3 linked regions of the Xenopus tropicalis genome follow. The protein of the gene in region 2 interacts with the protein of the main gene of each other region in a biochemical or structural test. Links are inferred from orthologs where the notes say so. Each region holds a gene or a part of one and is shown on either strand. Other genes may lie near its edges.

The links. The genes of interacting proteins can lie anywhere in the genome.
Region 1: the proteins of slc9a3r1 (region 2) and abcc2 form a complex in vitro, tested with the Homo sapiens proteins (2 studies listed by BioGRID). The link is inferred for Xenopus tropicalis from reciprocal best matches to the Homo sapiens genes NHERF1 and ABCC2.
Region 3: the proteins of slc9a3r1 (region 2) and adrb2 form a complex in vitro, tested with the Homo sapiens proteins (3 studies listed by BioGRID and IntAct, with this or other methods). The link is inferred for Xenopus tropicalis from reciprocal best matches to the Homo sapiens genes NHERF1 and ADRB2.

The regions. Positions count from the first base shown.
Region 1 is NC_030683.2:35,437,818-35,442,130, reverse strand, and holds the start of abcc2 (canalicular multispecific organic anion transporter 1), read right to left. Parts: upstream 2,863-4,313; 5' UTR 2,762-2,862; coding exon 2,720-2,761; intron 1-2,719. UniProt on the Homo sapiens protein: ATP-dependent transporter of the ATP-binding cassette (ABC) family that binds and hydrolyzes ATP to enable active transport of various substrates including many drugs, toxicants and endogenous compound across cell membranes.
Region 2 is NC_030686.2:43,958,980-43,963,256, reverse strand, and holds the start of slc9a3r1 (Na(+)/H(+) exchange regulatory cofactor NHE-RF1), read right to left. Parts: upstream 2,806-4,277; 5' UTR 2,787-2,805; coding exon 2,490-2,786; intron 1-2,489. UniProt on the Homo sapiens protein: Scaffold protein that connects plasma membrane proteins with members of the ezrin/moesin/radixin family and thereby helps to link them to the actin cytoskeleton and to regulate their surface expression. Necessary for recycling of internalized ADRB2.
Region 3 is NC_030679.2:41,027,444-41,031,835, forward strand, and holds the start of adrb2 (beta-2 adrenergic receptor), read right to left. Parts: upstream 2,863-4,392; 5' UTR 2,653-2,862; coding exon 1,393-2,652; 3' UTR 1-1,392. UniProt on the Homo sapiens protein: Beta-adrenergic receptors mediate the catecholamine-induced activation of adenylate cyclase through the action of G proteins. The beta-2-adrenergic receptor binds epinephrine with an approximately 30-fold greater affinity than it does norepinephrine.

The DNA.
Region 1 (4,313 bases), on a different chromosome or scaffold from region 2:
TGGGTCTGACAGAGCAATGGTTCTCAACCTTCTCGACCCTTTAATACAGTTCCTCGTATTGTGGTGACCCCCAACCATAAAATTATTCCTAAGACTATTGGAAATATGTGTTTTCCGATGGTCTTAGGCGATCCCTGTGAAAGGGTCGTTCGACCCCCCAAAGGGGTCGCGACCCACAGGTTGAGAACCTCTCTGATAGAGCATTCTGAAAGATATGTATCTTCCCTTTAGAGTTTTTTACAGACACTGTGCCACCTCCCTTCTGTGGTCTTAAAATCCTTTTACAAGAAGTTAACCTAGGGCCTGGTCTTGTGGCCAGTTTGTGTGACCTGATATTATAGGGCTGTGCACAGACAAACAAGTCCAAACATTAAATAGGTGGGTAAAGAAGAAACATATCCTCAATATCCTCCAAACTTAAAGTGTATATTGCCATAAAACAAGGTCCATAACATATATGTGTCATGTCTTGGGACACTATTGTGCTGCATTAATGGCCTTAAATTGGCCTGGAAAAGACTGGAAAAGCCTTTGCAGATAGACACCTCACAAGTAGAACACCTCACAATCAGAACTCTTCCGTAATCATGATAATTCCGATTCAAACATTGGCTCAAGAGGTTCTTCAGAGGTATAGGTCATCAACCATATAAACTGCTTTTAGATCATAGTGTCAGGCATATATCTGGCATCACGTGAGTTAATCAGAAGTTGTTCTGGAATAGTTTGGGTTCCAAGCCATTATTCCTCCTCTTGGGAATTCAGACTGATCACACGCATATTATTCCAACATGCTTATAGGAGCAGTAATGTTACACATAAAATCTGTATCTGTTTAACCAACAACTACGAATTAACTATTTGTTGGCAACAAATATTTTATATGAAAAAGGTTTTCATTTTATAGTCCTTCAGAGAGCCATGAACTGCATTTAATTTCTGTTTAACTTCCTGTGAAACAACTAAACACATTGTATAATATACAGCTTATCTGTGATCTGCTGTGTAACCTTTGCCTTTTTTGCCTTATTCAGCCTGAATAGCTGCTTACATTGTTATATAGCAGCTTATTTATATAAACTATAGCAGTGTTTCTGAGGCAAACACACCAGTTGCACCAGTGCAGGGCAACAGTACATTATATTTCAATGCATATAAAACACTATCATCTCTTGGTGTTACAGTCCCTTTAATAGGAAGCATAGGCCCATATGATTACCTCTCTCTATTGCAAAAGTTCAGCATGAGCGCATTGATTCTCCATTTGTGGTGTTCTATAAACAAATTAAGAAAAAGCAAAATCCTATTTATTTGGCTCATTTTTAATACTGGGGAATTCATCCCCTTTAAGATAAGGGCTAGTTATTACAAGAACAGTAAACTGACGCAGATTCTTGCAAGGTGAGGCTTTAATAACACATGGTATTAAAACGAGGACTCGTTGTTATGGTTACAAGTTACAGGCTAGGAGCATTTGCACCTTGGCCACTTGAGTGAGGGATCATACTACTGTGCTGATATCGCTGTTGAACAATTCCATGATTGGAACTGAGGATTCTGTGCTTTATTTACACTGGAGTACTCACTTCCACTGGTTACTATATATCGCAACCCCCTGCTGAACTGACCCATACACACTGTATTGTTATGTTTGATAGCACATTTCATATATCTATACTGAAAAAAGGCATGGTTTTGCATAAAGATATACCAAGAAGCTAATCAGATAAAGGGTAGATTAAATGGGATCTTCTGTTTCAATGTTACCATATATTATTTGAGCATAGTATGGGGCACTACTTATACTGGCATTATTTGAGGTATCAGTCTATACAGTCAACAAGCAATTCAAGGGGACATGCTCTGTTGGACAACTTTTTGTGGGATTACAGCATAATAGGAGATCTAAAGGGGGTGATAGAAGGAAGGTTGTGACCAGCTAGCCTGAAAGGTTTAGAAAGGCTAACACTGCAAGCTGAGGTGGATAGGGATAAAAGCAAAGGGGGAAAAAAACTATACTCACTTATTAAAAAACACACAAGGGGGAAAATGAAAATGTCCCACAGAGAGATTAGTTGTGCGCTGTAGCAGAGATCTATCGGGGGTGACTAATCTCTATGTGGGACCTTAGCCCTAAAGGTATATGTTGATACATGGGTCCCTGGCTAGAACCATCCTGACAATGATTCCTAATGACTGGAGGATGATCCTGCCCTGAGGTTGAGGGTAGCCACATGTATATAAATAAATATATGTATAGATAATGATAGACAGATCTGACAGACAGATAATTATAGACAGACCGTCAGAATACAAAAATTAATCATATAATAGATCAATTAACTAACCAAAAAGCACATTTATATTGTTTTCAAGAGCCATTGAATACATTATTTCATCTTACATCTGTCTTTTGGTAGAAATATTTAACCCCTACACCCTAAGGAGTCTGGATAATAGAACTAAGCAGTGAAATACCTACACAGGATTTATTAAGTTCTCATAATACACATCACTCATACACTTCAAGCCTAAATTTATTGTACCCTGCTCAAAGATCATTGACCCACTATATGTACTAAAAAAAGAACGGGAGTATCACATGAGCATGTTTATCCCATTTATATCCAGCAACAACCACCTTATTCACCAACCAACACCTTCCATATTATAGCCATAGACAATGATAATAACTAGGAATATTAAGCACTCAACTCACCCAGAAAATAGAGCCACAATATGAATCCAAAGCTTTAGACATGCTGGTAACTCAGACGGAATCTCACGGGATCCACCTGCCTTGGGATTGTGCTGAGGAATAATAATGTTATATACTATTAGGAGCACTACTATCAGTATGAATCAGCAGGTTAAAAGTCGCCCCCCGCCCACACTGCTCTCTATCCTCTTGAGGTGCATCTCAATCTTGGTTAAATTTTAACCACTTTAACTTCTTTCATGAGCCTGCTCCATTTATCTGAACATGAGACTGATGTTTCTGTTGTTAGGAGCGCTGTTCTGTTTGAATGGAATCTCATAGTGAATATACAGCTTGGATTGTTCCCTTCCTGTTTAAGAAAAGCTTTGCCACAGCCCAACTGGAATTTTTCATGCCATTCTTTAAACTGATCATCTGGATGTCAGAAGGAATAATCTAAAAAAAGCATTGAACTTAATGACGGGATGTAGGTCAATAGGACGAGGACCACTTCACCGACAGGAATTTTAAACCTGCCCAATCAACATCTGGCCAAATTTTGGTCAGATATGGGTCCAGTAGGCCTGTCTGAGGGCCCCACACATGGGCAATAAGCTGCTGACTTGGTCCATAGGCAGCTTTAATCAGGCCATATATTGCCTTGTATAATAAAGATTGTAACAGCCAATACTAAAAAATAAAATAGAAGAAAAACATCAAAACAAAATTAATAAAATAATATCTAATAATGTGTAATAACTTGGTTCAACTTTCCCTTTTCTTAAAGGGGTGTCAAGTGGGAGCGGATTTTGGCCAGGCCATCCTACTATAATTTTTCCATCACAATAATATTATCTATATTGGTTTTTATCACTGCAAAATCCAACTTCATAGTACGCCATGATTTTGCTATTAATTGAATATGATGATCAGTTTATATTGAGAGTTGGATAAGCTTTTAATTGCTTTGTTTAGGAGAGTTTTGTAAGGATTTTTTCTTAGGGTAAAGACATTCAGAGTTTTTCTAGCAGCTACTTGTCACGGCTACAAAAATAGACAATGCTGATAATTTACTGAAAATTGTCTTTACGTGTGTTTTAGCAGAGACAATTCTATTGTCTATGACAGGGTATTTTCTGGCATTTTGTAGCCGTGACAAGTAGCTGCTACTAAGTAGCTCCGTCTGTCTTCGCCCTTAATGATATTTCCCATAACATTATCTATCGTATAAATTCTTATCCATAATCCCATGCCAAAATATACATAATCTGATTATTCTAAAATGGGTGAATACTGTATTTCTGTTTTATAAGACCCCCAAATAAAAGAGGACCCCAGAAACCGTATATTTCAATTCAAAATCAATAAGTATGTTTTTTTTACCATAAACTAACAAAATGCAAACCTTTTCTAGACTTTTGATGAAAGTTTTGAAAAGTGTCTCAAAGCTTGAATTCTCCAGCATCAAATGCCCCGCATATCTTTATGTACAAAAGAAAACATCCTTAATGTGAATGCCAGGGGTCTTCTGAATTCTGTTTGATGTCCGATATGCATAGTATTACAAAACAAAAAGAAATGTGCCACACAGAGACCCCAAAAGTTAAATATTGCA
Region 2 (4,277 bases):
CATGTTGCCCCAAGCCACTGGTTGGGGATCATTGGTCTAGATAAAGTGGGCATTACTCAGAAACATATGTCAGTTCTACTTGGAGGAGGAGGGGGGGGGTTCTGATTGGTACATAGGCTGGTAATTGATGCCAATCCAGGATAATGGCACAGCTCCACCACCACCAACACATAGGGTACTATATACCCTTCTCTATAGAAAGAATTAAATACCCAAGTCTAGGATTCATGCCAGGCAACTGAGGCACTCAGGTACCCAGCTGAAGCTGCCACACCAGACTGGAGCGGTGCCATGCCAGGGCTGTCTTTAGTGCTGGCAAGGCCCAGGGGCAAAAAGCTTGTTGAGCTGCAACTGACTTTGTATCTAGAATAGTTGTGCCGAGACAGCCGAGCCTCTGTTATAAAGTCCCTTCCTAGAAGCCTTTCCTGGAACTTATACCCTGTGGGGTCCCGATTACTCTCTGGCCCATAGTTTGCTTCCCACTAATGACAGCGGCATCCATCATCAGCTTGGCTGCCGTGTGTGGCCGATCCACTAAACGGAGAATAGCGTACCCCCAATTGTAAATTATAAGGATATTAAAAGTTAAAGAGATCCATATAAGGCAGGTGTCCCAAACCTTTTTTACCTGTGAGCCACATTCAAATGTAAAAAGACTTGGGGAGCAACACGAGCATGAAACCTGTTCCTAGGGGTGCCAAATAAGGGCTGTGATTGGCTATTTGGTAGCCCCTATATGGACTGGCAGCTTACAGGAGGCTCTGTTTGGCAGTACACCTGTTTTTTATGCCTCCAAAACTTGCCCCCAAGCCAGGAATTCAAAAATAAGCCCCTGTTTGAAGGCCACTGGGAGCAACATCCAAGGGGTTGGGGAGCAACAAGTTGCCCCTGAGCCACTGGTTGAGGATCACTGATATAAGGACATGAGGTCAATGGTTGTTGGCATTCCATGACCAGTCTAAAACCACAAGGCGTTCTATTGGTCATGGAACAAATGGTGACTTCTAATATCATATTATATAATAGTGGTACGGTTTTTATAGACACAGTGAGTCATATGACAAATTACATCATTAAAATTAAAGATAACTGATGACATCACTATGCACCACGTAGAAGAACCCATTTTACAGGAAATCATGGCTCTTTGATTATATCTTTATAATTTACAGTTTGATCACTCCCCTATGGGATCCTTATAAACGGTGCCTAGTGATGTCATCAGTTATAATCAGAGCTCAGTGATGTAATTTCTGTCACACAAATCACTAAAACTTGGATATTATAATAAAGTGCCCCCTGTTGTAAAATATGAGGATATTACAAGTCAGCCTTCAGCTCATGCTTTTATATAGTAAAGGAACTCCTCTGTGACTTATAATATCCTTATATTTTACAATAGGGGGGTACATTATTCACTATATATTATAAGGAACTCCTCTGTGACTTATAATATCCCTATATGTTCCAATAGGGGGTACATTATTCACTATATATTATAAGGAACCCCTCTGTGACTTATAAAATCCCTATATGTTACAATAGGGGGCACTTTATTCACTATATATTATAAGGAACCCCTCTGTGACTTATAAAATCCCTATATGTTACAATAGGGGGTACTTTATTCACTATATAAGGAACTCCTCTGTGACTTATAATATCCCTATATGTTACAATAGGGGGCACTTTATTCACTATATATTATAAGGAACCCCTCTGTGACTTATAAAATCCCTATATGTTACAATAGGGGGTACTTTATTCACTATATAAGGAACTCCTCTGTGACTTATAATATCCCTATATGTTCCAATAGGGGGTACATTATTCACTATATATTATAAGGAACCCCTCTGTGACTTATAAAATCCCTATATGTTACAATAGGGGGTACTTTATTCACCATATATTATAAGGAACCCCTCTGTGACTTATAATATCCCTATGTTACAATAGGGGGGACTTTATTCACTATATATTATAAGGAACCCCTCTGTGACTTATAATATCCCTATATGTTACAATAGGGGGTACTTTATTCACTATATATTATAAGGAACTCCTCAGGGGCTTATAAAATCCATATATGTTACAATAGGGGGTACTTTATTCACTATATATTATAAGGAACTCCTCAGGGACTTATAATATCCCTATATGTTACAATAGGGGGTACTTTAGTCACTATATATTATAAGGAACTCCTCTCTGACTTATAATATCCTTATATTTTACAATAGGGGGTACATTATCCACTATGCAAACACAAGTTCAGCATTAGAAACTCTAGCAAGAGCAGTATATACCCTGGCACTGCATGGCATCACTTAGCAGGGGTAGGATACTACGTATAAAGCCAGCAAACTGCCCCGACCCCCCCATACTGAAGGGGAAGCTATTATCAGCAGGACTCCAGTAGGCAAGTCATGTGACCAGGTGCAGTGGGCTCGCCAGGCTGCCCCCATAATTCGCTCTGAGCCGAGTACCTTGTTTTCTTCTTTAGGGGAGCTGGGGGCCACCTCCTCCTCTACTCCCTGTACCTCCAAGGTGAGTTTCTCAGTCGCTGCCCGGATTTTGCTCACCACCTGCTGGTGCCCGAGTTCCCTCACATCCTCCCCGCACACCCGGATGAGCCGGTCCCCTGCCCTCAGTCCTGCTTTCTCAGCTGCTGAGCCAGGCTCCACCAGCCTCACATACTGGCCCGGCCGGGTCTTCTCACTGTGCAGATGAAACCCGTAGCCCGAATCCCCCTTTTCCAACACGCACACCCGCTCCGAAGCCATATCGAGCCGCTACTCTGCGCCTGACTGAACTCAGGCTCTGCCAGCTTATAGATTATATAGCGAAAGGGAGGGCGCGGCGGTGACAAATATGAGAGATGTCCAATAAGAGGGCGGGGACAGTATTGCCGAGGGACGTGATTGGAGGAGAAAGTTCAGAGAGAGGCGCGCCTATTCCAATGAGCTTACGCGGGATTCGGGCCCTCAGAGTAAAGTTTAATCAGTGCCGCCGAGTCATGTGACCCGGGGAATATAATACGGCCCATAGGCACAGGTGGCATCTTTACATGTCTGCTGTCAGTGAAACCACTTTAATGGGTCATTTGACATCCAAGCAGCATCTATAAACCTGTACATAGACTGACCCAACTGAGTATGACAGAACATAGAGTATTATTGCAGCACCTCAGGCAGCAGGGTGGAGCTGTGCCAGTGAGGGGAGGGGTGGGGGGGTTGATGATGGCAGCAGTGTTTATAATAGTGAGCAATTAGTGCATTCAGCATGGGGACTTTGCACTGGAGATTAATGAGCAGCTTGAGGCATCCAAAGAATGTGAGAGGAGGGAGCAGTACAACTCCCCAGTACCCTGGCATGCACCTGCCCCTCGCCTCATACAGCTCCTCAGGCACTGCCCCTCACTGAGGCTACCATTATTGTGCTGTTTAGCTCAGTGTTATTTGCTCACCGGGGTGCCATTCTAGAGAGCTGTGCATGACACAATATATATGCTGAATTCGGAAGCGGCAGAGGTGCGCACTGGGACCCCAGGGGCCCACCAGAGAACCTAAGACCATGGGCCCATTCTCCAAAATATCCTCCTTTCTTCACAACCATTTTATTCTCCTAGTCTGTTTTATTTACATGCTAGCATCTATTCTTCCATCTATTCCTTCTCTTTCTTCCCATTCAGAAATAGGGAATGACCATGAAACAGGCCAAATGGTCAGGAGCAGGAAGGCCCACTGACCCCTGGGCCCAGCGGGAGTTTTCCTGGTATCATGGTTGGCTGGTCCAACACTGGGTGCCAGGGTCGGACTGGGCCGCCCTAGTGGGCCCAGTCCGACCTTTGCCGGCGCTCCCCCTACTGACTGTTCCTCCCCTGACGCGTTCAATTTATACGCGCTCGGGGAGGACGTCAGGCGGGGGGGTTAGGGGGGCCCCTGGGGGGGTTAGGGGACGCGGCTGGGGCACTTGCAGGGCCCCTGGGGCGGGAGCCCCGGTGGGCCCTGCACCCCCCAGTCCAACCCTGCTGGGTGTGCAGCACATGGGGTCCCCCTAGAACGCCCCTCGGTTAGAACCACACAAGTCAGGGTGCACTAGGAGAACCAGTGGGTTAACTATAGGGGAATCCCTCCCCCACCCAGCTGTGATGCCCTGTTCCCCATGAGTTTGGTTGGTGGTGGGTTCTGTGAATGATGGGGGAGCCAGGCATCCAGAGTAGCACCCCTGTAGCGAGCCCCATATTAAAGCCCACTTGTGGATCCCTTTTGCCT
Region 3 (4,392 bases), on a different chromosome or scaffold from region 2:
GAGACAAGAGGAAACAACCCGCAAGCTTGTCTTTAAGTGCTGCTGAACTACAACTCTCAGAATCCTACCACTGTCATGGGCAACTGCTGAGCACTGTAGTGCAGTCACATCTGGAAAGCCCCATATTTTGCTCATAACCCAGAGATAACTGATTAATTACCCTGACAGGACTTGGTTTCAGCCAGAGATCAGACACTACAGAACAGCAGTAGGAACATCTGTTCTGCCCCATCTAGGAGACAAGGACTCATTTATCTCGCAAATAGGGATCTAGGAGGCTGGGCTCACCGAAAAAACAGATTAGTTTGCCATCAAGAAGGGGATGGGTCCTCCACTCAACTTTGGACTTCACTGCTAAAATTAGATGAACTAAGTTAGACCTTTAACCCTTCTATCCTTAAAATACACTTTTGGTTAGAGGCTCCAGTATACGTGACAGTCACTGCAAATGTCAAATTGCTTATAAAAAGTGCCACTTTCCAACCTGCAACAGAGGGGTTAAAGGGGAATGCAAAGATTGGCACAAACCTAAAAGGGTGGCTGGAAATGTATTGAGTTAGCTCTGCGACTTTTTTTTTTTTTTTTACTGCATTTCCTCCCTGAGAAACCATGAAAAAAAAGAATTTATTTACAGGTGCAAAAGTACACAATGGTGGTAACTATAGCAACTATTCTGATATTATTTTACATGGTTTCACAGCAGCTTGCAAAACACGACCAACCAAAGCTGGTTGCTATAGGTTACTGCAATTGTGCCTTTTTGCACCTATGCTGAATGACCCCCAAGGGTCTCTCCTGGTTGCAACACACAGTTTTCATCAGTCTTATACAGAATATACGTTTTCCTATCTCTCACAACCCAACTTTTGCAATTTCAAAAGTTCAAAATATTAAGCTCAGCACATTAACCCCATCATTACTCAGGAGAGCTATCTCAAGGAAAGTAGAATTAACCCTGTCCCTTCCGCCAACAGCAGCTGTTTTTTGTATTATTAAGGGGTAGAAAAGGGGGGAAAAAGCAAGATTTTTTTTTTTTAAGTTTCAGAATTCTTGAACTTAGAATTCAATTTTTTTTTAAGGGTTTGAGGTAGATTTTTCTTCAGTAAAGTACACAGGGCAGCAACATAAAAATATAAAAGCCATTACATTATAACAAAAGATCTCTTACCTTAATTTAAGAGGAACTGAAAATAGACAGAAATGTACATTTTCTCATAATAAATTTATACATTCTGCAAGACATGGGCACTGCCCTTCTGCAAAATATACATATATAATATACATATAAAAACATTTTCCTTTGTATTATACATTCGGATATCTGGTTGACCCTTGTATTGCAATAATCCAGTTTGTTGTAATAGTTCAAATATTAAAAAAAAATCGACAATCCTATAATAAGCAATCATGCGTGTTATGATTCTTGCCCAGTGGTTCCAAGCTAAAATCTAGAAGAGTACCTTCACAGTTCAAAAGGGAGGGATTGGGAGTTTTCTCCTCTTTAAATAAAACTTCACAAGTCCTGTCTTTAGAATACTGACAAGGTTCTGTGTCTTCGTTGTATGCACTGTTCCCATTGCTCTGGGGGTACCCATTGGCATAGGCTTTGGAGCCCGGTTTCCTTAAGCACAGCAGCTCCTGAAAAGTGTATCTGAAATCTGGGCTCCTGCAGTAGATTAACGGGTTAAAGGCAGAGTTGACATATCCCACCCAGTTCAAGAAGTTGTAAACTTTGACAGGGATAAAGTCTTTGTGCATCACCTGGACAATGTTGACTATAAAAAAGGGGAGCCAACACAAAGTAAAAGTGCCCATTATTATCCCCAAAGTCTTCAGTGCCTTGTGCTCCTTCAACCAAAACTTTGAGGTCCTTTTATTTCCTTGCTTACCATTGGTGTCCTGTTGGTTATTCTGGTTGTGGAACCTTCCCTCGCTTTTGTCTATTTTCTTTAGTTGTTTTTTGGCCTCCTGGAAGACCCTTGCGTAGACAAAAATCATGACCACCAGAGGTAAGTAGAAGGAGATGATGGAAGAGGAGATGGCATAAGCAGGGTTGGTGAAGAAAAAACAACAGGAGGGGTCATCATAGCAATGCAAGGCACTCTCCTCCTCTATCCTATACCAGTGCATGTAGATGGGGAGGAAAGAGGTAAGTGTGGACACCACCCACACCAGCAGGATGACAATCCTGGCTTTGCACTTGGTCAGGAGGCTCTGATACCTGAATGGAGAGGTAATGGCGAAGTACCTATCCACTGCAATGACGCAAAGGGTCTCTATGCTGGCAGTGACGCAAAGGATATCCACTGATGTCCAGAACTCGCACCAGAAGTTATTGAAAACCCAAGTGTCCAGGATGATGGAACTCGCTCCGAAGGGCACCACTATCAGCCCCATCAGCAGGTCCGCACAGGCTAAAGACGTGATGAAGTAGTTGGTGACCGTCTGCAGCCTCTGGAACTTGGCTATGGCAGTGATCACCAACACGTTGCCGAGCACAATCACCAACACGATGCAAGACATGATTATGCCCATGCCCACCATCCACGCATCCCCGGGCTTATCGCTGGCGTTGCTAGTGTTGGAGACGTTGGAGACCAGCTGTTCGAGGGTGCTGTTAGGGTAGGGGCTGGCGGTGACCCGCTGTTCCATAGCTTTGCAGTCCCTTTGACTTTACTTCCACTTGTTAGGAGTCGGTTGGGTGTGACACGCAGCGCTGAAAGTACTCCTGCCCCGCGTATATCCAGCGCATTTAGCCATGGGGGAGGCGGAGTTGCCCGGTGTCGTTCATTTGTGCCCGTCCTGTTTGTGGGGCGTTAGACATGGAACTACCTCTCTCTCCTGAGAGTCTCTTCTGATTCTGGGCTGTGGGCTCGCCTGCTTTCTTTTATTAACACCCGCCCTTACGTCACAACGGGCTCCAGCCAATCCCCGGAGAGCAAGAGCGGGATACCGCGTAACACCGGCTGGTCGCTGCCTTTCTCTTTTCCTTTCGGAAGTTGCCTGCGCTAATAGTTAGCTGCGCTATACTGCGCTATACTGCACGGCGGATCAAACGGTGCCACTTACAGGCTTTAAGCAGGGTGGGCTCGAAGTTGCACGGCAGTGCATCTAATCAGTTGCTGATGTACAAGTACAGCCCCTGGTATCCCCCGAGAGTTCGAATTCTACAGCTACTGGGGCTGACTGGACATTACTGGACTCTTTCTGCGATTGGCAGATGTTTAGCTATGTCCAAAGTTTGATGTTTAGGTACAATTCCCACCATTGATTAGTTGGATAGCTTGTGTTACATATCCCCCTGCTTTAGGGTGAAGACACACAGAGCTACTAGTCGCAGCTTCTTTTTCACAGCTACTAAACGCCAGAAAATACCCTCCCATGGACAATACTGAGAATTGCCTCTGCTAAAACACAGGTACAGCCAATTATCAGTAAATGATCAGCATTGTCTACTTTAGTATATATACTAGTAGCTCTGTGTGTCTTCACCCTTAAGCGTCACATAACCAGCTACTACTTGTATTTTATTTATGATTTATTTCTTGTCATTCTTTTGCCCAGTGTATCTGATATCTGTGCAACACCTATTCTGCATTGCAGAGGCTATTGTGGCACTATGCGCTAATGGGTAAGGGCAGTGAACAGAATAGGAAACAACGTCAATCATTTAAACACTAAAAACAGTCAGAACTGTAATTTATGTACAGAGTTGCAGCTATGAAGGCATGCTGCAACCAGCTAACCCATTCCCAAGGGCAAAGCAATAATCAGAGCAGGGAGGGTGAAGACTATGGTGGCCCCATACTGCTAATTGTTGCACCTCTGCTTTCTTCTAATTGTTGCACTGCAGCCAAGAGCAGAGCCCATGGGCATATACTGTATGTATGGGAAGAAAAGAAGTCGGCAATAAACCTTCGGACTATGTATAGTAATTGTATCTACAGCTGTCATAAAAGATATGTTCAAATTCTTCTTCAGTGCAGAGTAAACTTGCAAAAAGTACAGAGAAAATAGAGCTGCTATATTGTATGTGAGTGTACTGAAATAACTTGCCACCTAGGTAATTATTAAGTGAGAGTTTTGCTTTTGGCACATATTAGTGGTACCAGGGGGGCAAGGGGCTACTTAGATCACCCCATTGCCGTAGTAGCTTTTGTGGTGATGTGGCCCAAAAAACTCACTCGGCAGGCCTTTCAGCTGTTGTTGAACTACAGGTCCCAGAACACTAAAGAATTCCCCCCCGTATTCAACGGTCATTGGGTGCTGGGAGTTTAATAGCAAAAAAAAGGCTCATCTTGCTTTACTCCCCCTACTATAAGCAGCACTTCCTGCCTCCAGTCCGGCTTGGTGGTGGACAAAAGATGGACCCTGGAAGTCACCCTTTTTTGA